Linked DNA regions of Macaca mulatta. The protein of the gene in region 2 purifies or fractionates together with the protein of the main gene of each other region. This does not show direct contact. Links are inferred from orthologs where the notes say so. Each region holds a gene or a part of one and is shown on either strand. Other genes may lie near its edges.

What was found.
Region 1: the proteins of SF3A1 (region 2) and U2SURP purify together in Homo sapiens (affinity purification with mass spectrometry; 4 studies listed by BioGRID and IntAct, with this or other methods). This does not show direct contact. The link is inferred for Macaca mulatta from reciprocal best matches to the Homo sapiens genes SF3A1 and U2SURP.
Region 3: the proteins of SF3A1 (region 2) and DNAJC8 purify together in Homo sapiens (affinity purification with mass spectrometry; 4 studies listed by BioGRID and IntAct, with this or other methods). This does not show direct contact. The link is inferred for Macaca mulatta from reciprocal best matches to the Homo sapiens genes SF3A1 and DNAJC8.
Region 4: the proteins of SF3A1 (region 2) and DHX15 purify together in Homo sapiens (co-immunoprecipitation; 5 studies listed by BioGRID and IntAct, with this or other methods). This does not show direct contact. The link is inferred for Macaca mulatta from reciprocal best matches to the Homo sapiens genes SF3A1 and DHX15.
Region 5: the proteins of SF3A1 (region 2) and SART1 fractionate together in Homo sapiens (co-fractionation; 3 studies listed by BioGRID and IntAct, with this or other methods). This does not show direct contact. The link is inferred for Macaca mulatta from reciprocal best matches to the Homo sapiens genes SF3A1 and SART1.
Region 6: the proteins of SF3A1 (region 2) and DDX39B purify together in Homo sapiens (affinity purification with mass spectrometry; 3 studies listed by BioGRID and IntAct, with this or other methods). This does not show direct contact. The link is inferred for Macaca mulatta from reciprocal best matches to the Homo sapiens genes SF3A1 and DDX39B.
Region 7: the proteins of SF3A1 (region 2) and HNRNPU purify together in Homo sapiens (affinity purification with mass spectrometry; 3 studies listed by BioGRID and IntAct, with this or other methods). This does not show direct contact. The link is inferred for Macaca mulatta from reciprocal best matches to the Homo sapiens genes SF3A1 and HNRNPU.

What each region holds. Positions count from the first base shown.
Region 1 is NC_133407.1:46,009,389-46,012,888, reverse strand, and holds part of U2SURP (U2 snRNP-associated SURP motif-containing protein), read right to left. Parts: intron 3,041-3,500; coding exon 2,878-3,040; intron 2,561-2,877; coding exon 2,481-2,560; intron 929-2,480; coding exon 841-928; intron 1-840.
Region 2 is NC_133415.1:21,195,996-21,199,495, reverse strand, and holds part of SF3A1 (splicing factor 3A subunit 1), read right to left. Parts: intron 643-3,500; coding exon 435-642; intron 1-434. UniProt on the Homo sapiens protein: Component of the 17S U2 SnRNP complex of the spliceosome, a large ribonucleoprotein complex that removes introns from transcribed pre-mRNAs.
Region 3 is NC_133406.1:212,713,617-212,717,116, reverse strand, and holds part of DNAJC8 (dnaJ homolog subfamily C member 8), read right to left. Parts: intron 2,094-3,500; coding exon 1,992-2,093; intron 1-1,991. UniProt on the Homo sapiens protein: Suppresses polyglutamine (polyQ) aggregation of ATXN3 in neuronal cells.
Region 4 is NC_133410.1:23,602,818-23,606,824, forward strand, and holds the start of DHX15 (ATP-dependent RNA helicase DHX15), read right to left. Parts: upstream 2,801-4,007; 5' UTR 2,681-2,800; coding exon 2,610-2,680; intron 1-2,609.
Region 5 is NC_133419.1:8,455,685-8,459,809, forward strand, and holds the start of SART1 (U4/U6.U5 tri-snRNP-associated protein 1), read right to left. Parts: upstream 2,801-4,125; 5' UTR 2,754-2,800; coding exon 2,441-2,753; intron 715-2,440; coding exon 657-714; intron 248-656; coding exon 192-247; intron 1-191. UniProt on the Homo sapiens protein: Plays a role in mRNA splicing as a component of the U4/U6-U5 tri-snRNP, one of the building blocks of the spliceosome. May also bind to DNA.
Region 6 is NC_133409.1:150,789,234-150,793,365, reverse strand, and holds the start of DDX39B (spliceosome RNA helicase DDX39B), read right to left. Parts: upstream 2,801-4,132; coding exon 2,590-2,800; intron 1,561-2,589; coding exon 1,433-1,560; intron 1,167-1,432; coding exon 1,074-1,166; intron 1-1,073. UniProt on the Homo sapiens protein: Involved in nuclear export of spliced and unspliced mRNA. Component of the TREX complex which is thought to couple mRNA transcription, processing and nuclear export, and specifically associates with spliced mRNA and not with unspliced pre-mRNA.
Region 7 is NC_133406.1:4,250,634-4,254,133, reverse strand, and holds part of HNRNPU (heterogeneous nuclear ribonucleoprotein U), read right to left. Parts: intron 2,404-3,500; coding exon 2,264-2,403; intron 1,329-2,263; coding exon 1,229-1,328; intron 794-1,228; coding exon 681-793; intron 231-680; coding exon 1-230. UniProt on the Homo sapiens protein: DNA- and RNA-binding protein involved in several cellular processes such as nuclear chromatin organization, telomere-length regulation, transcription, mRNA alternative splicing and stability, Xist-mediated transcriptional silencing and mitotic cell progression.

The DNA.
Region 1 (3,500 bases), on a different chromosome or scaffold from region 2:
ATGTCACCTTCTAATTAAAAGAAAAAAAACCCTAAAAATAAATATAATGAAAAATAAACAGTAGTTGTTTGCTCTTTACCACCTAAGGTCAGCTCCCATACCATTAGTACTACACATGAGCCACATTCAGGAAAGACTTACATAGAAACTTATGAAAACTTAAAACCAAAGTAGCCAAGTTTTGACCTGAATCCCCTTATGGTCCAGTAAAGTACTTCCTAATTCTGGTTAACACTTTACTCTGTATCTTCCCTAAACTTTTTTTAAAATTCTAACTTATGGTCAAAATTTAAGGTCAAAAACTTTAAAAATGGGAGTTGTCTGAATGCCCTAAATGGTGGGGTCACTGGGCATCTTCCCAAACTAAAAATTTTTCGTAAAAAAGTCATCTTCCCATGAAAGCATATTTACTTAGTCAATTATAAATAAAGTACTCCACCTGGCTTTTCTTAACACTGGCCTACATCTTAAGAGGTTATAAAAAAATTGGTAACAGAGCAGACTTTCTAAATATGATTAAAATGTATGTCTTTAATCCAGCCAAATAGTATATACCATTACAAAACAAGTGATTCTTCTGGCTGTTTCATGAAAAAAGACTAACATTTATAATATTTAAACAATACTTAAAACTAAAATTAAACACCTGTCAAAACAGTATCTTTTAAATTTTTGATTTTGATTAAAAAAATGACAGAATTTTAAAACACTAACTTCGGTAACATCTAAGTTTTAATTTTATGTGTCATACTTGTCTTATGTACTTTTCTAGCCCTTCAAGGCCCTCTCCCCCCACCCATTTAAAACACTAGGGCAAAAATAGTAAAACAATAAACGTACCTTAAAGTTTTCAGATTGTAAATGGCCTTGAATTGTACGATAGGTGGCATTGAGGTCTGAAAATATCTGACATAACTTTGTTTCAAAACTGAAATTCAAATAATACATTCTTTAAAATAAAATGTTTAAAATTCCTTTCCCCTTCAGCATGCCAGCCAATGAAAACCCCTCCTGAACTTAAAATACCTACAAATTAATCAAGAAATTATTAAAAATCAAAAACTAGGTGTTTAAACTCTAAAACCGTAACTGAATTGCTTTAACTCTTATTACTCTGAATTTTTCTCCTACAAACTCCCCAACAGTCCCTACTATCTCCCTTTATAAGCAAGAAACATTACATCTAGGATATGTTGAACCATCTCATCCAATTTCTTTATTTTATAAAACAGAAAACTTAGAAAAGGGTGACGCATCCAAGGCAAAAAAACTAATAGCAGACATAAGAGTAGGACTCAGATCTCTAAATTTCTTTTCAGAGCAACTTCCTAGGGAAAAGCTTCCCTTTGCCTAATTCAAAAAATAAACACAGAAAGAGAGCTCTGGGGAACTGAGAAAAAGTTACACTTTTTTTTTTTTGAGACGGAGTTTGGCTCTTGTCACCCAGGCTACAGTGCAATGGCGCAATCTCAGCTCACTGCAACCTCCGCCTCCCGGGTTCAAGCAATTCTCCTGCCTCAGCTTCCTGAGTAGCTGGGATTACAGGGCTATACCACCACACCTGGCTAATCTTTGTATTTTTACTAGAGATGGGGTTTCACCACATTGGTCAGGGTGGTCTTGAACTTCTGACCTTAGGTAATCAGCCCTTCTCAGCCTCCCAAAGTGCTGAGATTACAGGCATGAGCCACTGTGCCCGGCTAAGTTATACATTAATTATAATACAGCAACATAACTTCCTTTTGCCTTAGGAAACATTAGCAATGAACTAAAATCAATATGCTAAGGATCAGAAGAGAATGCAGATTCTATAGTTAATAGTATGTCTTTGGTTTCTTATGTCTGCCAGTATATACACTGTTTCTATTTATTATATGAATAGCTAGATACGCAATAAAGTTCTCTTTAACACACACCTATTTGTTCTACTGTCAATAACTAAGAAAGTGATACGATATAAAATCTTTCCAAAAAAATTGGTAATTTAGCTTAAGTTTAAGCCAATTTTTTAAAAAAATTCTACAAACCATGAAGAAATTCAAATTAGTCTTCCCTCAGTATCCATAGGGGGACTGGTTCCAAGACCTTCCATGGACACCAAAATCCACAGATGCTCAAGTTCTTGATTGAAAATAACATAGTATTCACCTGTAACCTACCCACATCTTCCCATGGGTTAAATCATCTCTAGGTTACTTACAATACCTAATACAATGTAAACGCTATGCAGAGTTTTCATTACTGTATTGTTTAGAAAACGACAAGGAAAAACGTCTGTACGTGTTCGGTACAGATACAACTTTTCTTCTCAAATATTTTCAATTTGTGGTTGGTTGAATTCACGGATAAGGAACCCACAGACATGGAGGGCTGGCTGTATTTCTTATTCTTGGAGGACGTTAACAAAACAATCCTCTTTTCTGAACTCCTTACCCTTAAACACTTTATTTCAGGAATATCAGTTATATCATTATACTTACAATTTTCTATAATATGAAGCATTAGCAACTTTGGCTGAAGAGTTGTACAAAACATCAGAAACCAAATATAATCTGGCAATCTATAATACCAAAAGATAACACAAAATAGGTTAATGTAAGGCTAATGTTTAGCTATAATTTAATAATGGCTACTAATTAGAAGAGTTAAATAACTATCACCACAACCATGACTTTGGCAGGGATGAAATTTGTTAACTCATTTACATTTCAATTTGTTTGCAACTTGTATGTTAATGAACCTAAATTTCCAAGCAGAAGTAACATAAGACTGCATGGGAAAAATTTCATCAGTCAAGTTATTTGTGCAAAAAGGAAACCACTTCTAATCCCAAAAGACATTAACTATCTCCCCTTTTCTTAAAATTCATTCCCATACCTTTTTAGGAAGGGGTGTCTTTAAGATGGACAATGACTCAGTAATGCAATCCACTATTTCTTCAGCAGCTTCAGCATTATTAAGACAGAAAACCATTGCATCTCCAATATCATTTTTCCTTGGAGTTAATCCCCGCAAGATTTCTTCCAATTTATCCCTCTGTCTGAACATAAATTGTTTTAACTTATAAATATTTAGATACAATTTCAAATGCCATTGTAGTTTTTGCTCACAAACTAATTTCTTTAAAACCTACTCACATAAAATAATTCTGAAGACTGTAATATGTTAAGTCTGATTTGTGTTGTGTCCCCCAAAATTGTTATAATTTTTTGAAGAACTTATATAAGAAAGAATACTCCGTAGAACTAATAAAAGATACCAATGATGTTTTCAGCTTACAAATTAAGTAAATTTAAAATAATGGGCATTTCTTCAAGAGTCTTTAAAGAGCACCCCAGTCTTACCATCCCATGATACTAAAGAATTTTCATGTTCTTTACTCCCCTTCTTTGAAGGAAGTCTATTACTTTAGCATTTCTGCCTGGGATTAGGACAAGCTAATTTTTCTGTAAAGGAAAAGACTGGCTGGGTGCAGTGGCTCATGCCTGTAATCCCAGCAC
Region 2 (3,500 bases):
GTGGTATTAGGGGAGGCCAGATAGAAGGGTCCTGGGAAGAAGAGAGAGAAGGGAAGGGAGAGCATAAGGAGGAGCCCACAGGCCACACTGCATCCTTCAGCACAGCCAAGTAGGAAGTCCTTCACCCAACATGGCACTGCCCTCACACCCTCACACTTCCCCCGACTCTCAGATTCCTCATACAGCCTCTGTGATGGGTCAATGAGACAAGACTCCTGAAGTTATAAGCAGAGTCTGACAAGCAGTGCTTGGGAAATGCCAACTAACATCAGTACTTTGCTGTCTGGGTCTCAGTCTGCCTCTGAGAGATGGGGATAACAACCTTACTTCTCTCCCTGGGTGGTTGTGAGGTTTAGAGTTATTTGTGTACCCCCTCCCTATCCCTGCTTCCCTCTCAAGCCCTGCGTAAGTGAAGGGGGCACTGGGCTCCAAACCTTCTGGGGCAGCTGCTGCTGGGTGGCCTGCTGCTGCTGCTGCATGACCTTGGGGATGGCAGCTGACGGCTCCTGAGCCTTCCCCTCCTTGAACTCGCTGACCTTGTGGCGGTAATAGGCATGGTAAGGGTCATTGGGGTTCAGAAAGTTGAACTTGGGGTTGTTGATCTCATTCTGTCGGATCCTAGCTTCAAATTCAGGCCCATTTCTAGAGGGAGAAAAAACAGCAAGAATAAACACCACATCCCTTGTGCCTGCTGAGATCTAGGACACTGCCCATTGGAACGTCCTTTTTGCCACCACCCACTGCTCAAACCAGTCCAGCCCTCAGCACAGCAGATGTCCTCCTCCAGCCTCCTGGCATTGGCAATCAGTGCCATGTGCCTCATTCAGCTCGAACCAGGCCACTTCTACCACGGGGTCTCCCTGAACCCAGTCATTCCTTACCTCCTTTTCCAGTTCTGCCATTTCCAAAACCACCTAGGCTATCGCTCATTTATTTTAGGTGAATATGATGAAAACAAAGTAACACTGTCAAAGTTTAGCTGGAAGTTTGCTGAGACTAGTTCTCTTAGTTCAAAGGGGTAGCAAGTGCTGGAGAGGTGTAAAAGGTACGTGAACACCAAACCTAGACTTTGTCCTCTGAGTAACGAGAAAGACTGAAAGACATGAAAATTTAGTTGATTTGAGCCTGGGCAACAAGAAAAGACCCTAACTCTACAAACAATTTTAAAAATAAATTAGCTGGGCATGGTGGCTTGTGCCTCTAGTCCCAGCTACTCAGGAGGCTGAGGTGGGAGGATCACTTGTGCCCAGGAGTCTGACGCTGCAGTGAGCTAGAACCGTGTCAATGTACTCCAGCCTGGAAAACAGAGTGAGACCCTGTCTTTTGTTTTTGTCTTAAGAAACAAAAACAAAAACAAAACAAATTAGTTGGTTTAATGCCTTGTCCAAGTACTGCCTAAAACCACCCCAATTATACTGGTGAGGCCCACACAGGAAACATGCTCAGCAAGGACCCAGCCTCGTACAGCTGTATAAGGCACCTTCAGATGACAGGGGTGTGGTAAGATCAGCAGGGAGGTCTCCAACCACTGTCTGTACTTGGGATGGTTCCCCAGATATGCCCCATGTCCCCAGCAAGCCTTCAAAACCTCAGGATAATGAAAAAATGTCCCTGTAATGATATTTAGGGAACCCTGATTTTTAAAATGTCCCAACAGTAATACTTCAACACCTGTGTCAGTAAGAAAATACACGGACCTCAAAGACACAAGATATGAACACATTCAAGTTGCAGGTTCACTACTGACTCACTCTGACCCAGAGCAAGTTACCAAACTACTCTTTGATTCCATTTCCCCATGTGTAAAAAGCAGCTAACACCAGTTTCCCTTTCTACCTTAAAACATTATTGAGGAGATGCCAAAGTCTTCTTTTTGTTTCAGAGACAGGGTCTCACTCTGTCACCCAGGCTGGAGTGCAGTAGTACAATCTCAGCTCACTGCAACCTCCACCTCCTGGGCTCAAGGGATCCTCCCACCTCACCCTCCTGAGCAGCTGGAACTACAGGCATGCACCACCATGCCCGGCTAATCTGTTTTATATTTTGTAGAGATGGCGTTTCGCCATGTTGCTCGGGCTGGTCTCGAACTCCTGCGCTCAAGTGATACACCCGCCTTGGCCTCCCAAAGTGATAGGATTATAGGCGTGAGCCACTGAACCCAGCCCTTAAAGTCTTTTCAAATCATACAGTAGCCTGCAAATGCAAGGGGCTAGGAGGGGTTGTTCCATAAACATCGTCTGTGGGGCCTTCCATTGCTCCTCTGGTGAGAACCTTGTACTTAGAACTGCCCCAAACACACCAAGGCATGGCCCCAGCATCTATCTAGTGCCAGCCAGCCGGCTCCACTCTCTTCTGACTTTCACATCCCTGGCCTGTGAGTTTAAGAGGGGGTGGGAGCCTGGCACAGTGGCACACACTTGTAGTCCCAGCTACTCAGAAGGCTGAGGCGAGAGGATCACTTGAGTCCAGAAGATCATATCCAAGCCTGGACAACAAAATGAAATTTCATCTCTTAAAAAAAAAATTTTTTTTTTAATTTTAAGAGAGACGCAGTACTGTACCCCAGATCAAGCAGTACAGCAATATGTGCCACACTAGTGATCAACACCCAGCCTGGCTCCTCAGCAAGTCCTGGTCATACCCTGCCGTGTGACTAACATCATGAGGTCTCAATTTGACAGTACATTAGTCTAACTGGAACCTCATGCTTTGGAAAAAAAATTCTCCCTACTCCTTAAATAATGCAAACCACACATAAGAATGAAGGTGAATGCCCACTTAAACCCTGCTCAACTAGGCCACTATACCCGGCAAATGCCTCGGGCAGACAAAGGGCTCCTGGAAAAGGGGGACCTGGTTGTCTCCTGTACCACTAGCTAGGCCATAACTTTACCCCATCTGGGAACAATCTGAAAGATAAAACAATGAGAAGGCTTGGCATGTTCATTCCAAACTATTCTGTTGCTTTAAATTAGCTTAACGTTAATTTTAGAATCATACTCTCCACCAGAAGGAATAGATTTCAACAGAAAAAAACATGATTCTGACTCAACCCAGCTGCTGGGACTTTTTAAGGGTAATTTCCACTTCAGTTTCTTGCAGGAACATGCAGGAAACGAAAGGCCTAACCTAGTGAAAAAACTTTTGGAAAACTGCTCAGTTGTACATTTCTACTGCATGCTCCATAAATACACATGAACCTAGGAGAAGTGAACACAGAGTTCTGCATGTCTGCTTTAACTCGGATATTGGTCTCTTTGTTGCAATGTAAACCATAAGTTCACAGATTTTGTTTATTTACTTTTGAGGCGGAGTCTCATTCTGTCACCCAGGCTGGAGTGTAGTGGCACCATCTTGGCTCACTGTAACCTCTGCCTCCCGAGTTGAGGTAATTCTCCTGCCTCAGTCTTCCAAGTAGCTGAGACTACAGGCGCCCGCCACCACACCCAGCTAGTTTTTTGTATTTTTAGTAGAGACAAGGTTTCACTATGTTGGCCAGG
Region 3 (3,500 bases), on a different chromosome or scaffold from region 2:
TCAACTATTAGTATTAACTATATGTCATCTTCATATAGCCTTATAACTCATTTGTGCTATTCCATTTTCCTCTGTTCCTTTTATTTTCACTTCCCGTGTAATGTTAGTCTCTTTGTACTGATTTCTGAAGAGTTCATTTATGATTAAAGATGTTAATATTTTGTCAAGAATTGCAAAAAATAAAAAGAAAAATTAATTTTTCTTTTTTTTTTTGGCCAGGCAGCGGCTCACATCTATAATCCTAGCACTTTGGGAGGCCGCGACAGGTGAATCACCTGAGCTCAGGAGTTCGAGACCAACCTGGACAATATGGCGAAACCCCGTCTCTACTAAAAATATAAAAATTAGTCGGGCATGATGGCAGGCACCTGTCATCCCAGCTACTCGGGAGGCTGAGGCAGGAGAATCACTTGAATCTGGGAGGTGGAGTTGCAGTAAGCCAAGATCGTATCATTATACTCTAGCCTAGGTGACAGAGTGAGGCTTCATCTCAAAAAAAAAAGCATTTAAAACAGCCCTGAGGCTGCACATGGTGGCGAATGGCTGTAATCCCAGCACTTTGGGAGCCCAAGGTGGGCAAATCATGTGAGCCCAGGAGTTCAAGGGTGCAGTGAGCCATGATTGCACCACTGCACTCCAGCCTGGGTGACAATGAGACCCTGTCTCAAAAAAATACAACAAAACAAAATAAAACCGTATTGAGCTGAGCCAGGCGTGGTGCCATAAGCCTGTAGTCCCATCTACTCCAAAGGCTAAGCAGGTCAAGATCACTTAAGCCCACGAGTTCTAATCCAGCCTGGGCAACATAATGAGGCTCCATCTCTTTAAAAAAAAAAAAAAAAAAAAGGACTAAGTGTATGATGCTCCCTGTTTTTAAGCAAAACAGTTTGAGTGTAAACATGAGTGGCTATCTCTCTTAGGTGGGATTATACATGATTATTCTTGCTTTCTGTACATTTACAAGAAATATGATTTACTTTTATAACCAGGAAAAGTTTAAAGTTATAAAATTAAGAAAATCAAAAAGTATATTCACTTATCTAAAATCCTGTGATCTTTGTTTTGTTGTTGTTGGGTTTTTGGTATTTACTATAGTGAAACAGAAAAGTTTTAACAAGTAGTTTAAATCAAGAATCCTAGGCTAGGAGCGGTGTCTCATGCCTGTAATCCCAGCACTTTGGGAGGCTGAGGCAGGCGGATCACAAGGTCAGGAGTTCGAGACCAGCCTGGCCAACATGGTGAAACCCCATCTCTACTAAAAATACAAATATTAGCCAGGCGCAGTGGGAGGCACCTGTAATCCCACCTACTTGGGAGGCTGAGGCAGGAGAATTGCTTGAACCCGGGAGGAGGAGGTTGCAGTGAGTCAAGATCGCGCCACTGCACTCCAGCGTGGGGGACAGAGCACGACTCCGTCTCAAAAAAAAAGAGAAAAAAAAAGAATCCTAAATTTATCAGAGTTAGCCGCCCCTTCACATCTGAAATTAAATCCTTATATATTTGGGTTGCTAAAAGATGATGAAAGGTATGTGCCCATCTCACTTTTCTTAACATGCTGCCTCTCCAGTTCTGCTCAGTAAAACCAACCAAGTTTAAAGACAATCTATATACAGTTACGTACCTCTAAAGGCAAAATGCAAAATCCAAAATGCTCCAAAATCTGAAATTTTTTGAGAGTCAATTGATGCTCAAAGAAAATGCTCATTAACATCCTGAATTTTCTAATTCGGGATGCTTCAACCAGCAAGTGAGTAGAATGGATGTATATATTCCAAAATCCCAAAAAAAATCCAAAATCCAAAAAACTTCTGGTCCTAAGCATTTTGGATAAGGAATACTCAATTTGTACTATACAAATTCCATCACTTTACTCCACCATTTTTCACAATCCTAACGATGATATAAATTAGGTATGTATTCCGATGTAGGTATGCCTGCAGCTATGCAAACACCCTCCATTACAGAGGTCCTAGCAACACCAATCAGCTTACCTCAAATGGGTTCAAATTGAAGTAAGAGGAACCAGGACGGGTCAGTCTTTCAATCTGATTTTTCGATGTTAGAACCGAGTCTCTTTTCTCTATTTGTTTCACCTAAAATTATGAGGATTAAAAACTTCATTAATAGAATTCAATAACAAACTGAATTGTTTATCTTAACACAACGTTCACTGATATGTTCAACAAACATTTGTGTGTTTACCATGTGCAAGACATTTTGATAAACGCTTTGAGAAATTACAACTACCATTTGTTGAATTTTAATATAAAAACCTTACATGTATTTATTAATCTCAACAACCCTATGTGGTAGATACTGCTATTGTACCTATTTCACAGATAAGAATACTGAGGCTTAGAGAAGATAACTGACTTGTTCCCAATTATCCAACTTGTAAGCCAGAATTTTAACCCCAACAGTTTGACCCCACAGCATGCATCAAGAGGATTCAAAGATAAATAAGTCACAGCCTTTAAAGAACTTCCACTTTAATGACAGAAGATGTGCTTGTGTGTGGTTATACTTCATTTATAGCTTTTAATTTTAAGGAAAAAAAAAAAAAATAGGCTGGGCACAGTGGCACATGTCTGTAATCCCAGCACTTTGGGAGGCCAGGGTGGGCAGATCACGAGGTCAGGAGATGGAGTCCATCCTGGCCAACATGGTGAAACCCCATCTCTACTAAAACTACAAAATATTAGCCGGGCGTGGTGGCATGGCCTGTAGTCCCAGATACTCAGGAGGCTGAGGCAGGAGAATCGCTTGAACCCCAGGGATAGGGGTTACAAGGAGCCAAGATCACACCACTGGACTCCAGCAGCCTGGGCGACACCACGAGACTCCATCTCAAAAAAAAAAAAAAAAAAAAAGAGATTTCTCTGTGGGGGAAAAAAAAAGAAAAAAAATTTAAAGAGCAAAAAAAGGAAAAATACAATCACAGTAAGACATAAACTATGAGCAGCATTTAAAACTGTTGATGGGAAGGAACAAATAACTCCACCACCTAATTCTAATAGTGTTAGGAAAAATCCCTGACTTGGCCAGGTGCAGTAGCTGTCACCTGTAATCCCAGCATTGTGGGAGGCTGAGGTGGGTGGATTGCTTGAGCTCAGGAGTTTGAGACAAGCCTGGGCAACACGGCGAAACCCCGTCTCTATTTTTAATTTTAAAAAAAAGAAAGAAAGAAAAAAGAAAAATCCCTGACCTGAAGACAATGCCAGGGAGAACAAGCACCAGGCAGTCCCAGGAAAACATTCTTGGTGTCACTGTCAGAGTTGGAATGCTAGTTGGAATGAATCTCTGGTATGCTATATATCATCTTTATTCCTATGGCCAAAACAAGGTTGGAAAGAATTTCATTAACATAGAAAGTCATTCCTTCTAGACATCTTCCCTCTTCACTCTATGAAAACAGGATTTTTTTTCCTCTTTTGTTCACTACCATATCCCCAACACCTGAATAGCACACTAGTACACTTCAAATGTTCAATAAACATCTG
Region 4 (4,007 bases), on a different chromosome or scaffold from region 2:
ATATCAAAAACCAACATCAAAATGAAAAACGTCCCTAACATGGAAAACTTTTTTCCATACTTCAACAGTAAGTTGTCTCTTGGTAATAACTGTATAGTGAAGGCTCTGTGGGTTGACAAAAAGAAGAAATGAGGCCAGAATACGCAACAGAAACCTATAATAACTTCACCTGATTTCAAAGTTAAAATATGTCAAGAATAAAATAAAGACTTATATAGTTGGGAACATTAATGTAAGTGAAATCTCCCACTGAATTACCTTCTCTTCTCAGTATTGGAGACATCCTATCTGGCAGTGGAGTTTGTAAGACTGACAAGCTTATGCTCTCAGATAAAACCACTTGCTGACTATCAGGGTAAAAAAAAAAAATCTGCAGGATTGCATGGCAGTCAACAAGTGACTTAAAATTATGGAGTATGAAAAAAAATCCTGATGCTGATAAACACTGTAAGTCCACTGTTAAATAAAGCCAGTTCTATGATAAATGGCACTCAAATGACATAGAAATTAGTATTAAAACTTCCCTCTACAATTTCTTATAACTTGAGCATTATTCCAAAGATGAACTCGCCTTTATCCACAGGCAAATTCTAAATAATATACAAGGGAATCATAAAGCTACCATTAGACCCCGAAAGTCGACATGTTTACTAAGGGTATCTGTTTTTGCAAGAGATAGTAAACAATTGCACATACATATGGTGGGACCACTAATCCCAAGGGAAGCATTTTAAATGGTGCACATATGCACAAATACAAATGAATTCATTCATTCCCTCCCAGAATATTTTGTTCCAATCTGACCTCCTGTTAGAGACATCAGTTCCAGATGACAGCAATTTATTTTTGCTTCAGAGAAATCAAGAACTAAGTGTTCCCTACTTTACCAACCCATTATAAATGTCATTAAAATAGGCTGTAATGAGTCTTAACTACAGTACTGAACTGTGTGCTGCTGAGTGAAAATGATAAAGGCAGGGTTCCAGATCCTGCTGTAAACTTGCCCAAGCCACCTTAACTGTTCTCCATTTCTCATTCCTTGAGTGGAGCTGTAGAGTCTTTTTTAAGTTGCTCCCAGCTCTGAGAGTCTGTGACATACAGCTCAGAGGCATTTACCGTTTTGTGGGGGGTAACGGTGGGGGACAGTGATAGCCTAAAGAGAGTCTGTCTTACAGTGTCATTGTCTTTTTACAATGCCTAATATCGCCAACTAAACAACTCACAAAACTGTGACATGCTTTTGCTTTGTATTGAATAATTCAACATATGGGAAGGTCTCAGAAAGTACATCCTATCCTGGCTTATACTCTACAATGACACTAAACATATCCCTAGAAATCAATTTCAATGAAGAACTTCAGCTGAAAATTTCAAAAAAGCTAGACAAGGGGACTTGACACAGTGATTCCGTATCACAAGTACACAATAAAATGATAAAATTATGCAAAGTATTTGGATATTCGGGCTTTTGTGGGTTTTGCCTGAATTATCCAAATAGGTCTTTGTACTTCAGCAATGAAAACACACACGGGAAAGAAACAGATTTTCATAAAACTGCTTAAGTTAACTGTTAAATTCCTCTGTATCTTTAAGGAAAGGAATCTGGAACACCATGAGTTTGTGTAAGTATTTCAACTCTCAACCTCCACATGGGCGGTGTTTCGCCATAAATACTAAAAACACGTTTTGAACATGATCCCTGTATTTCAAAAGCTACTTATGAAGAAAAGTGGGACATGCACAGAAAATAAATGATGAAAAAAAAAAAAAAAGAATGCCTTCTAATCCCTCCCCATGGGATGATGTTCGGTAACCAGTTTTAACCAAAGCAGGAAATAGAGGAGATGGCGGGAGCGTAGGCAGAGGGCGGAAGTTTGCTAGTATCTACTTTGAAGTGCTTGAATGGACCGAGACACGCTCTCTCCCGCCAAACTATAAACTCAGTCGCCCCAAAACACCAGCCTTCCAGCCCACCAGGTATTTTACTCCACCCTTCCTTTCTCCCGGCAAGTCCTCTACTCCCACTTCCCCAGAGAACTCCCCATTTGCTGGCTTCTCTCAACTCCCGCCACCCCCACCCCAGCCTACATTAGGATCCACGCGCTGCTCTCACTTTCCGCCCTCCGCCTTTCCCGTCTGGAGTGCCTGGCCGCGCCCCCACTCAGGCCCTCCCCATGGCCCCTCTGCCTGGGAAGTGCCTGGTGCCCTTGGAAGCGAATACTCCCGCCGCGCCCTCCCCCACTCTCTCCCCCGGATCCAGGCCTTCCTCGGGAACCGAGGCCACGAGGTCCGCGGTTCACTCCCGCCCCACGCCCTCGAAAGTGACTCCTGCTCGGTTCGGCCTGGGGGAGGAGGCGCCCTCATGGCCACTGCAGGCCTCTCCACCCTCCGGACTGGGTTGGGCACCGGCCCCGCCGCACGCAACTCCCCGCGCCCTTGCCGGGCCGGACGGGCGCCGCGCTTCTCCGACCCGCCGCTGGTGAACCCAGCCCAGAAGGAAACAAAGGCTCGGGCTCCAGGACCCGCTCGGCCAGGCCAGTCCCAGCCCGCTCCCTGCCAGGACCCCAACAAAGCCCGAGCTGCTGCCTCGCGCCCCCGGCCTGGCTTACCCATCGGTCCCCGCACGCTTCTTGCCAGAGGGGTAATCCTCCCCTAGGTCCAACCGGTGCCGCTTGGACATCCTCGCACTCTTCGAACGGGCGGTTATTAAGGAAGAAAGCTAGCCGCTGTATGGGCACAGTGGAGGACAGCCACTTAACTCTGGAGGACCCCCACCCCTCCCGCTACTACAGCCCACACGGTGCGGCCGGAACCAGGAGCTAAAATGGCGGCGGCGACGAGGGCTGGGCCTGCGCGCGCGCGCGCTTCCGCAGCGTGCGTGCGTGCGAGTGTGCGTGTGAGCGAGGTGCGCGCGCACGCCGCCCAAAGGCGGGAACTCCTGTCCCGCCCGCTGCCTCATTGGTCCGACCTTTCTTGGGTCTCCTCCCTCTTCCCGTAGCTTTCCCCTCCTAGGAGCGGCTGTTAGGAAAAGCCTGAAGGCCTTCACTTTCCATTTCAGTCTATCCTTGCCCCTCTGAGTCGAGAAATTGAGGAAGTCTAGTCCTAGTTAGGAAATCCTATTCATCTCTATTACCCCGGCTTTAAGGGAATCTCAGACCCAGAGAGGTTGAGAAACGAAGATCGTACAACTAATAAGTGGCAGAGCCGGGATTGGAACCCAGCTATTTAGTAACTCCAGATCTGGAACTTGAGGCCACCCCGCTACTCTCAGTTGCAGTGAGGGACCGCGCGCGGTGGTTCACGCCTGTAATCCCAACACTTTGGGAGATCGAGGCAGGCGGATCACGAGGTCAGGAGTTCGAGACCAGCCTGGCCAACATAGTGAAACCCCGTCTCTACTAAAAATACAAAAATGAGCCGGGCGTGGTGGCGCACGCCTGTAATCCGAGCTACTCGGTAGGCTGAGGCAGGAGAATCGCTTGAACCTGGGAGGCAGAGATTGCGATGAGATCACGCCAGTGCACTCCAGCCTAGGCGACAGAACAAGACTCCGACTTGGGGAAAAAAAAAAAATTGCAGTGAGGAAACTAAAGTGAGAAAATCTTAAGGCTTGTCATGATCTAGTTTGCCCTTTTCTTGCCCAGCACAGACACCCATGCACTCAAGCTATAGATGTTTTTAGCTAGAATACAGAGAATTCGCAGTGAGGGCACAATTTGCTTTTATGTTTGTTTTTTTGTTTTTCTTTCTGTGCCTATTAATGCACTTTCACAGTGTTAAATAACACCCTGCAAGGTAGTTGTTATTTTGTAGACGTGGACACAAAGGCTGCGGAAGGTTAAATCTCACGGCCATAAGGGCTGTACCTAAAGCCGTAACAAGGAGGTGGGGCAAGATGACTCTAAGGAATTTTGTAGATCTCTCCCCCTAGAATATCTCTGCTTCCTCAGTTGCATTCGTTCCCAGAAGAAATGCACAAGAAAAGATCTGTGGACTATCTGCAGCAG
Region 5 (4,125 bases), on a different chromosome or scaffold from region 2:
GGCTCTAACTCAGAAAACAAGCAGAGCCCCAGGTCCACATTAGAACAGCAAGAAGGGACCTCGTGCCTTCCGGCAAATATGCATGTGTAAGACCACTAAACCGTGCTGAACCTGCCCTCTAATCCCACCTTCTTCAAAGACCCCTTCAGATGGCCCTCTCCCCCAAACCCCATCCTCAGCCCCATGCTCACCCTTCTTGATGGCATTGACCTCCAAGGGTTTCAGCCCCAACTTTGCCCGGAGTTTACTGAGAACAAGAGATACAAGTGTTAGGGGCTATCAAAGGATACAAGTGTTACGGGCTATCAAAGACACAGGGTGCCATGTGCATTTCCAAACAGACAGGAGAAGAAACAGGGTGGGAGTGAGCGGTCCCAAACACACGGTCTGCCCCAGGAAGCCTAGGACACTGGGAAGGGCCCTGGCCTCCAAAGCAGGAAACATGGGCGCCAGCCTGGTCTGCATCTAACCGGTGAATGCCACTTTACTCTTAGGTATTAGTTTCCTCTTCTATAACTCTACTGTTGGCTAAAATGATCTATACAACCTTTCCAACTCCAATTAGCACACTTTCATGTGAGAAAGCCTCCCCAGGGCTGGCCCCAGAGCCACCTATCTTAGAAAAACAAAGTGGAAACAAGGGAGACAGTACTCACTTGGTCTCCTCAATGCTGAGTGAGGAGGCATCGCCTGAGCTAGTTTTGGAGCTGGCAGCTGGAAGAAGAAGAAGCATGGCTCAGGAGCTGAACATAGGGCCAACAAGCCAGCATCAGTGCCTCCAACTGCAGGATCAAAGATGAGGGCCCCTCACCAGCACCTGGGCCTGATGAAACACCAGAAAACAGCAGCTTCTTCCACCCAAGCTCCCCAGCAGCTCCTCTGCCCGAGTCCAGTCTCAGAGCCCTGCCTCTTCTGCGCACCTTCCTATCCTGACCCAAGAGATCCAAACTGCTACAGTCACCATTCTGCCCTCTCCTTTTTTCTTTCATTTTTTTTTTTTAAGAGACAAGGTCTCTTAAAGAGATGGAGCAAGACTTTGTCTCAAAAAAAAAAAAAAAACACCTCTTCCTTTCCTGCATTCCCATCCTGTATCTTAAAGGCTCCACTCTCCACCTGGGCCCTGGATCCCAATCTCTCCAGGCTCCCCAAAGTCACCAGTCTCCTTCATTTCTAATCTAACGGGTTCTTTTCAGTTCTGGTTTTCCTTGATCTCCTGTGGTATATGGGACTGCTGATCACTCCCTCCTTCTAACAATACTCTATTTCCAAAGTTCCCATGACACAAAGGTTTTCCTGCCTCTTTGGTTACTCTATCTCCTTTTTTTGGTAACATCTTTCTCTGCCTACTACTAACATAAGGGCATTTCTCAGGTTCTATTCCTGACCCCGGCTTCTCATGTCGCATTCTTTCGCGGGCTTCACTGGCCACCCAGATACTGACTCCCAATGGCTTTATCCAGTCCAAACTCTGGATTTCCCTATGCACATAAACCTTGACAACCCCAAAAGTGAATTATCTTCCCCCACCCTGCTCCAAATCTCCTTCTCTTCCCTACTCCTCAATTTCAGTAGAAATGACACCCACTACCTATCTGGCTGCTCAAGCCAAAATTCAAGGAGTCATCCTCAATTCCTTCTCCTTCCCACCCTCATACAAGTACTGAGTTCTGTTCATTCCTCCTCTAAAACACCTCTCCAACCTGTCCACTTCTCTCCACTCCACTGCTGCTGCCTTGGTGCAGGCCACCATCAGCCCTCACCTGGTCTGTAGCCCTCCTGATTTCCTGGTCTCCAATCCTGACTACCTTTGACTAAGTTCTCAATCCAGTAATGTTTACAAAATACGGATCTGAGCAACTCACTCCTCAACTCACAGCCAAGGCTCCCTACTACCTTGTCAAGACAATCTACATTTCTTAACAGAGCCTACAGTACAGGATCCTTTGCGTTCACATCCCTGCCTATCTTACTCCTTCATTTCTCTACCAGGAGCCCTACACGATTCGTCCAATACGATTCGTCAAATACCAGGTTTTTCTTGTCTCTGCATATGCTGACACTACTTCATTCATTCATTCAACACATTTATTGAGAATCTGTGACTGTACCAGACAACTGAGAAAAACGGAAGCTCTCTATCCTCAAGGAGCCAGGTGGAGACAGTCTACCTCTAATCCCAAACAATCGTAGAAAAGCTTTTTTGAGACAGAGTCTCGCTTTGTTGCCCAGGCTGCAGTGCACTGGCGGGATCGCAGCACACTGCAGCCTCTAACTCCTGGGCTCATGGGATCCCGTAGAAAGACTATTTAATAAGAGTTGATATAGACAGTCTGGGGGTTTCCCGATCCGGAGAGCTTTGCTGACACTGTGCGCACACCCAGACCCGCACGTTCTGGGACCCCTGCCCGACCCGCCCCCTGCGCAGGCCCCGCCTCCTCACCGGCCTCATAGCCGTCATCGCGTTTCTCCCGCTTCACACGCCGCTCCGAGGGCTCTGCCTGGCTGCGCTCCCGCCCGTGCGTGCTGCTCCGGGCCTCAGCTTCGGCCCCGCGCCGCCCGCTCCCGCGCTCGCCCCCACGTTCCCGGCTCCGCTTCCGTCGTTCGCCACCGCTACCGCCACTGCCGCCACTCCGGTGCTTGTGTTTTTTGTGTTCCCGGTGCCGCGGCGGCTGCTCGGTGGCGCCCCCGGTGCCGGCCGCCGCCGTCGTCCCGGTCGCCTCCTTCTCTCCGCGGTGCTTCTTGGACGACCCCATAGTGGCACGTCCACTCCAAGCCCGGCTACCGCCGAGCCCAGACAACGCAAAATGGGAATACTTCCGGGTCGCTCGGCAGCCGCTGTCGTGTTGCCGGAAACTAAGAGCGGCTGCTTCCGTCGCTCGCCCTGGAGCCGGCCCCAGAGGCTCATGGGAAGACCGGGATCACTGCTCCACTGCACATTCGCGCCGTCGCGGGTCGGGTGGGTTCTTTGAGCCAGTGGTCCCGTTGTGCATTCGCTACTCAAGGGAAGCGGAATTAACCCGGAGATGGGATCCCAGAACTGGAAGGACTTAGAGGGCATTAAGCCAGTGTCTTCGTGGCTGGAAGTTCCTCCCCGGCATCCCTGCGCTTGCACTTCACCGACAACGGGGTGTTCACTACCTCACGGCCTTTCCGTAGACACCTCCCTCCTACAATGGGCGCTCGCTTAGTGGACTCCTAGGGTCGTGGCTTCAACGGGTGTTGTTTTCCCGTTATCTCAAATTCCATAGCCCAGTTTCCGACCCGCTATAACTAGTATCGTTAGGGAACGCTTCCTTCCCACGTTCCCTGGTTTTTTTGTTTTGTTTTTTTCCCTTGAGATAGGATCTCACTCTGTTGCTCAGGCTGGAGTGCAGTGGCGCGATCACGGCGCACTGCAGCCTCGACCTCCCGCGCTCAAGTGATCCTACCCCCTCAGCCTTCCCACTAGCTGGGACTACTACGAATGAACGCTACCACGCCCCTTTAATTTTTGTATTTTTTTGTAGATGGGCGGGGGGTGTCTCGAACTCCTGAAGCCAGGCTATCCACCCGCCTTGGCCTCCCGAAATGCTGAGATTACAGGCATGCGCCCCTGCGCCCAGCCCTGGATTGGATTTTTTAAACCCGCGCCCCGTGAACTGTTAAGACTGAAGGAGCGCCACATGAGCGTCAGTGTATCCTTGGAACCCCTGAAATTGAATGCAAAATGTGGCACATCTGTGTGTATGAGTTTTTTTCTTGAGGAGAGGAGCCCTAAAAAAAACTACTGGGACTTAAAACCCCAGTGCAGGCCGGGCGCGGTGGCTCACGCCTGTAATCCTAGCACTTTGGGAGGCCGAGGCAGGCGAATCACAAGGTCAAGAGATCGAGACCATCCTGGCCAATATGGTAAAACCCCGTCTCTACTAAAAATACAAAAATTAGCTGGGTGTGGTGGCGCGCGCCTGTAGTCCCAGGTACTCAGGAGGCTGAGGCAGGAGAATGGTGTGAACCCGGGAGGCGGAGCTTGCAGTGAGCCGAGATCACGCCACTGCACTCCAGCCTGGGCAGCAGAGCGAGACTCCGTCTCAAAAAAAAAAAAAAAAAAAAAAAAAAAGCCCAGTGCGCACAATCCCAATCGGTCCT
Region 6 (4,132 bases), on a different chromosome or scaffold from region 2:
GGGGGAAAAGAATGACCATGGAATCAGACTGTCACGATGCTAATCCTATGGTAAACCTAAAGTCACTAATGAGGCCAGGCACAGTGGCTCACACCTGTAATCCCAGCACTTTGGGAGGCCGAGGTGGGTGGATCACTTGAGGTCAGGAGTTCGAGACCAGCCTGGCCAACATGGCGAAACCCTGTCACTACCAAAAAAAAAAAAAAAAAATTAGCCGGGTATGATGGCACACTGTAGTCCCAGCCACTCAGCAGGTTGAAGCAGGAGAATCGCTTGAACCTGGGAGGTGCAGGCTGCAGTGAGCTGAGATCGCACCACTACACTCACAGCCCAGGGGACGCAGCAAGACTCCATCTCAAAACAAATAAATAAAAATAAAAATAACTAACATAAGTCAACCCGATTTCTGGCATAACAGGAGATACAGCATCACCTATGAAGGATAATTGCCAAAAATGCTTAACTTCAATCAGATTTTTTTTTTTTGAGATGGGAGTCTCACTCTGTCACCCAGGCTGGAGTGTAGTGGCACAATCTCAGCTCACTATAACCTCTGCTTCCTGGGTTCAAGCGATTCTCCTGCCTCAGCCTCCCAAGTAGGTAGGACTACAGGTGTGTGCCACCACGCCCGGCTAATTTTTGCATTTTTAGTAGAGACAGGGTTTCATCGCATTGGCCACACTGGTCTCGAACTCCTGACCTCAAATGATCCACATGCCTTGGCCTCCCAAAGTGCTGAGATTACAGGTGTAAGCCGCTGCGCACTTGGCCAGAATCCTCAATATTCACACACCCCTGAAGCTGTTTTAAAGTTTCTGGCTTTCTCTGCCACACACCCCAAAATTACCAAACTGATAGGATTCAAAGTCAGTATAAAGTAGTAAAAAAAGGGTGGTCTCGGTTAAGCATCATCCATAGCCCAATTACGAATCCTCCCGTTACATAGGATCTTAACACTGTTAAACCATGGCAAACTAAAACTTCTCCAAAATTAAAGAGACTACTGGCCTACAAGTTTCTTATCCCTCCAACTTGCCACACCCTCACTCTGAGGTCTCTTTACCTCGGCTTACCTTGACATTGGGCATGTATTTAGAGAAGCGCTCATATTCCTTGCTGATCTGAAAAGCCAACTCCCGAGTGTGACACATCACCAGCACAGACACCTTAGGCAGGAAGTAGACCGAGACATACCATGAGTGTAGCCCTTCATCGTTCCCTCTAGGGAAGTGACTGACAAAAACACACCTGGGCCGATAATAAATGACTTCAATTCTGTGATCTAAATCACGAACCCCATGCTTGGATAGAACATTCCCCACAGCTGTCAGGTTGTCAAGGGTAACCGAGGTCATCATGTAGCTAGGACAAAAACACCCTTCCCTTATAGTCCTAACCAAAACCCCTTCCCCAGCACTCTCCCCAAATATACCTGCCCAGTAACTGGCTCCAGCTGTTGCAGTGTGGCCAACACAAACACTGCTGTCTTTCCCATGCCCGACTTGGCCTGGCACAGGACATCCATTCCCAGAATGGCCTGAGGGATGCACTCATGCTGGACTAAAAGTAGGGAGGAAAGATAAATTAGACTTCAGTCTCCAGATAACTCTACAACCTTTTTCATCATGCCAAGCCCATTTCTTACCACTCAATTCTCAAAATCTAGTATTTACCTGGTTCTTGCCAACTTCCAGACCCCTTTTTCCTCTCTCTGCTCAATTATATTCACCTCAAAATCAGACTCTCCTAATTCATCCCAGCTTTGGCCTCCTCCAGATCTAGGCCTTCCCAGTCCTACTAACAGCCCCCTTGCATCTACCAACCGCTCACCTTCAATGCTCCTGGCTCTGTCCTTATTTTTCTTAATCTGTAACAATTCATGACATCTGAATACCTGCTAAAGACATTTCTCCTACTTAGGTTGCCATACTTCGGGTCACATAACAACAACCCGGGACAAAATGAAGGACTTGGTACCTGACCCAGAAGCCAGTCATCTCTAAACCAGTCATAGAGGTTTCCAGAGGCCACAGTTGGCCTGGCCCAACAGAGGGAGACTACAGGTCCAATCAGGACCTTTCTGGAAATTTAAAATTACAAGTCAAATGACAAAATTAAAAATAAGCAGACAAAAGAAGTCAGTCACAAGAATGAATGGCAGACCTAGAAGCTACTTTTGGATAATTAGCACTTTGGTGCTATCATGAAAGAAAGAACAAGTCTGTATAATCCTCCTCTATCCAAAATCGTTTTCGATACTTATCTCCTGATTTTTTTTTTCCTCACTGTCTCCCCGGCTGGTGTACAGTAGTGCAATCACGGCTCACTGAAGCCTCAACCTTCACCTGCTTCGTTTAGTAGAGACAGGAGTCTCCCTATCTTGCCCAGGCTTCTCTTGCACTCGAGCTCAAGTGACCACCCCTCCTGCCTTGCCCTCCCAAAGCGCTGGGATTACAGGCGTGAGCCCCTGCACCTGACCCTGATCTAGCCTTAAGTATAAACTTTTACCACCTGAGCAACAACAAACACATCTTTTTATTGTACCCTTAAAGAGCCCAATGAGCACTACATGCCCAAGAGAAAATTTACCTTCTGACGGATGCTCAAAGCCACAGTCGACAATGGCCCGGAGCAACTCTGGCTTGAGCAGGAAGTCACGAAAGCCAGAGCTGTGGATGGAGACATAGGAGCCCTTGACATCCTTCTTGGCAGGGGCCTCAGCCCCATCTCCCCCAGCTGCTGTCTCCACCTCATCATCTTCATAGTCCAAGAGCTCATTGTCCACATCGTTCTCTGCCATAACTGGGCCGGCAGGGGAAGACGGGAAGGGGAATCTGGATGGGTTCTCGCAAAACAGGTGAAAACAAGGGGTGAAGAGTAGGGGATTGAGGAACAGCAAAGGAAAATAAAGATACTATTTCTAACAGAAGAGCTGGGGAGGGGGAAAAAAAAAAAAGCAAGACTTAGTCACGAGCAGAGCCTTCACCACCTCTTTTCCATTCCCAGTTCCCACTTTCCCTAAACTAGGAAACTTTTACATGGAAAAAAAAACAGATACACAACATAAAAACGAAAAGCAAATACAACAGAACAGAAAAAGCAGCACCAGCGAAAGTGGTTAGGACACAGGTTCCCAACAAGATTAGCAATCACAGTAGCGGAAACCAGAAAAGTTGGAAGGGGAAGACCAACTTATAAATTCTTAATCTGAAAATAAGTGAGGAAATATAATAGATAATAAAAGATAAAATATGATTAATAACTTAGTAAAGTGGAAAATGGAGATGACAAGCAGAGTCCTGGAAAGTCCTCAAAGGAAGACTGTGCTTTCCCTATTATAATCCCACCGTTATGGATGCCTAACTCAGCAGCCATCAGTCAAGGGTGATAGATGAGGGTCATCACTGCGCAAAGCGCTCATCTTTCGAAAAGAAAACATCATATGGCCGCCGTCCACCTCCCATAGCTCTCAGCCTCCCACTTCTCAGTATCCTCTCTTCCGTTGTTTAAGAAAGCCTTGTGTAATTAGCATGGGGGGGAGGGGCGGTGCAAGACAAATGGCTCGGCCACCAAAAACAAAAAAAATCCATGTCTCCACCCTACAATAACAAAGTTAATAGTTGACAGAGAAAGGCAATCCCCGCCCAGGCTTTAACAGGATCTTTACCAAGTGGTCTGACATCACTGTTGCGCTACGAAGGTGAGACTCCTTTTGGAGAAACATACAATGACACCAATAGTAAACACTTGTAAGGCACTCCAAATTAACTTGGGCGAGTCAAGGTGAGAAAAATCCAACTGGGCCCAAAAACCGGCTCCTCCTCCCAGTCCCACCGTGGGCCAAGAAAGGGCTCAAGAAAGGACAAGTAAGGTGATAAGAGCCCCGCCCTCCGCAAATACCAAGACCAAGGGACGCCTAGCGCCGCCTCTCATTGATGCTGAGGCCTCCAATATGAAAAGAACCTACTGGAAGAAGGGAGCAAAACGAACACAATGGCGCCGAGGACACCATCTTGGATTGGGCCCCCCCTTAGCTTCCCTTCCTTCCCCCAAGAGCTCTTTGCTCTCGAAAGGGATGCAAGCTACGGAAATGGGGAACCAACTAGGCCCCAGAGACCAGACGATCGCCTGT
Region 7 (3,500 bases), on a different chromosome or scaffold from region 2:
CCTCTAACTCGATCCTCTAAGGGGACATTCTGGATAAAAGTATACTCTTCAGGTATTGGAAAATATGGCTTTTCCTTCTGACCAAAATTAAATTCAACTGCACAGTTGTGGCAGAGAACATGCGGGAAGAGTGGCCGTCCAGCAAGAACTTCCTTACTGATTTTGAAAGCAATGCCAAGATCTTGTCCATTCTTAGCATAGGAGAGTTCTACTTCATCACTTTCAAAGTTCTGTTAAACAGCAAAAAATTCAAGTTATCTGCTTCCTATAAACTTTCTAAAAAACTAATAATTAAAATTAGGAGCAAAGCTTATCCTGTGGGAGCTACAGGTTAAACAACTATTAAGTGGCCTCTAAGGGCTACACAGTTAAGAAATCTGATGGTTACAAACAATGAAGCACGTATCTCCAGAACCAGAAACAATAGTGACCTAGAAGTTAGACTAAATTTTCTAGGTCAATTTCATCTTCATTGTTTTCAGTCAAAATGAAATTAGTGAGTTCCTCAAAAATGTCCTGTATTTTCCCAATTCAACTGCTGAATGAGTATTTATACTAACCCAGGGACTGGTGTATTTATGTTGCTCCTATTGAAGATTGACCTTAATAAAGCTTCTTAAAAGTTCCTAGATATAGCTACTAATTTGCCATTTATACATAGAAAGTTAGCTTTAACTTACAGCAAAACATGTAATCACATCATTTTCATCAAACTTTTCTCCATAATCTTCAGTCTCACAGTTGCATGTTTTTATTCCTTTTAGAGAATACCCGTAAGAAAATTCTTCTTCACCTAAGAAAGTAATTAACCTTCGTGAAGTAGATTTTTAAAATAGTCCAAAGACTCATCTATTTCACTACTTAAAATGTAGGCTACAAGAGAAATGAGCATATAACCTAATCACCTGTCACTGACACTATTACTTTTCTACCTCTGTACTAGAATTGATGAAAGTTAGGAGGGATATATATATATGCAGAGACCAAATTAGTTGACAATTTGCATATCATGGGTAAGATTTTATTTCAACCATAAACTTCTAATAAAGGAACAAAAACTAAAATGTAGCCTGTGCCTACTATGTGCTAATATTACTTGTCTGAAGTATTAACAGAATAGATAAAAACAGACAAAAGGCTTAGAATGCCTTCTAGTCTGGTTAAAAAATAAGGATATCAGACCCTCCTAAACATTCATGAGCCCACATCAGTCAAAAAGAATCTTTACCAAGTAACATTCCACTTGTAGTTAGTGACCAGCCAATACGAACTTCATGTATGTCAATATCTTTTGTATATAAATGCCTTACTGGGATCTTCTCTGTAACCTGAAAGTCGAATCATTAAATAATTAAAATCATAAACCAAGGAGGTAACCCCTTAACTCTGGCTTATTTCATAGGGTCATGAGCTAATCTTCCTCGAGCTATAAATACAAAGAGATGGCACACTCTAGCCCATCCCTAATATTTGTAAGAACTTTAAACTGATGTGCTTATAACTTGAAATGTTAAATACTTATTTGACCCATATTTAAAAGAATAGTTAATATTTTTACAGTTCATGTTGTCAGTCTTCAACTTAAAGCCAATTAAAGGATACATTTAATGTTTTTCTCGCCAACAAAACCTGTAATCTAACCAAATTTTATTTTTCACTCTTTGGTGGCCCTTTCAAATGCTTGATAAAAATGAAGTACCCTAAATAAAAAGTTGCCTAGCTCTGCATGTCAAGTTCTAACATAACTTAACTGTCACAACAAAATGAAGGTTCCAAGTTCCTCTTTTAATTTACAGGAAGCTTCAAAAAATAAGTACCTCTGATAACTTAGCAGTATGAAGCACCTGTAATTTCAGTATTCTGGGAGGCCCAGGCAGGCAGATCACTTGAGCTTACGAGTTCAAGACCAGCCTGGGCAACATGGTGAGACCCTGTCACTATTTTAAAAAGAAAAAAAGAAAAGAAAAAAAAAGGCTGGGCGCGGTGGCTCAAGCCTGTAATCCCAGCACTTTGGGAGGCCGAGGTGGGTGGATCACCTGAGGTCAGGAGCCCCGTTCTCTATTAAAAATACAAAAATTAGCCAGGTGTGGTGGCACGTGCCTATAGTCCCAGCTACTTGTGAGGCTGAGGCAAGAAGAATCACTTGAACCCAGGACGAGGAGGTTGCAGTTGAGCCTGGGTCACACCACACCAATCCAGCCTAGGGGACAGAGTGAGACTCTGTCTCCAAAATCAAACAAAAACATCATAAAATTGCATTTACCTTCATCTCAAAACACACTTTGCCTTTTGACACACCATAAGATGCTCTTCCTCCAGCCCAAAGAAAAGCAAAACTTTCCATTGTAAGGGAAGAAGCACTGAGACGATCTCTTGATATTTTAAAATGTAGATCACAATTATCTGTAATTATATCAAATACTGTGTTACTTTTGACATCCAATGTAAACATATATGCTATGTAGAGAAAACTTGGTTATTTAATTTTTGCATGTACTTAACGCTGCACAACTTTTCTCCACATCATGCTGTTGTTCCAATTTTCAGTTTAAAGCCCCACTCCCACCAAGTCACTCCTTTTAAATTATGTACTGAAAAGTAAACTGCCTCTGAAACTAATACCAAGGTTTAACATGTATATTTTAAGTATTTAAAATAATCAAGACAATGTGACATTAATACATACCTGCTCTGCTCTTTACCTTGATTTAGAGGCAAGCAGTAGAGGATAGCAGGAAATCAAAGTGAAGCATGCCAGAACCAGGTAGATTTACCAGTGCCACATTAAAACTGAAGGGAGGCCACGACCAAATTATTTTGAAACAGGAGTATGAGCTGCTGTTGATCCTGCACCAGGGCTCTAGCTCCTAAATTCTTCTTCTAAAACTTGTGAAGAAGACAGCCTAAATCTATGAAGTACAAACCTGGCCGTCTAATGCTGTTAATAGTGCAGCATTTTAGGTCCTCTTTACCCAGGACTGCCTGTTCAACAATTAGGGATTAACTGCTTCCCGGATTATCCAAATCCAAAGTGTCTTTAACCTAGCTACCTATGGGTCACTGGCTCATTAACATGCACCTTCTCAGACTTCTCACTTCAACAGCTAAAGTCAAGCTGGAATTCAATTTTTTTTTTACTGATCAGAGAAAAATAAATCTACAGTTTGGAATTTTTCTTAAATTAGAATTACTGTAATCAGCAGAATTTAATTCAACAGATTGTTTGAATTCAACATTGTGTTTATATTGACATATGCCTATCTGATTTGCTAAAAAATCTAACAATTACATTACCTGCATGAGTCACCACTTCACTACCTTGCCAATTCCTAGCAACTTTTTATTTACACAACCCAGAATTTCACATAAAACTTTCAAATCAACTAACTCCTTTTTCACCTGCAGTTTTTTACTTTAAAAAGGCTCAGATGACTATCTCAACCTTCTGTAAAGGACATTCCAGTAAGAAAGAGTTTTACATTTACACTCTTACAAATCTG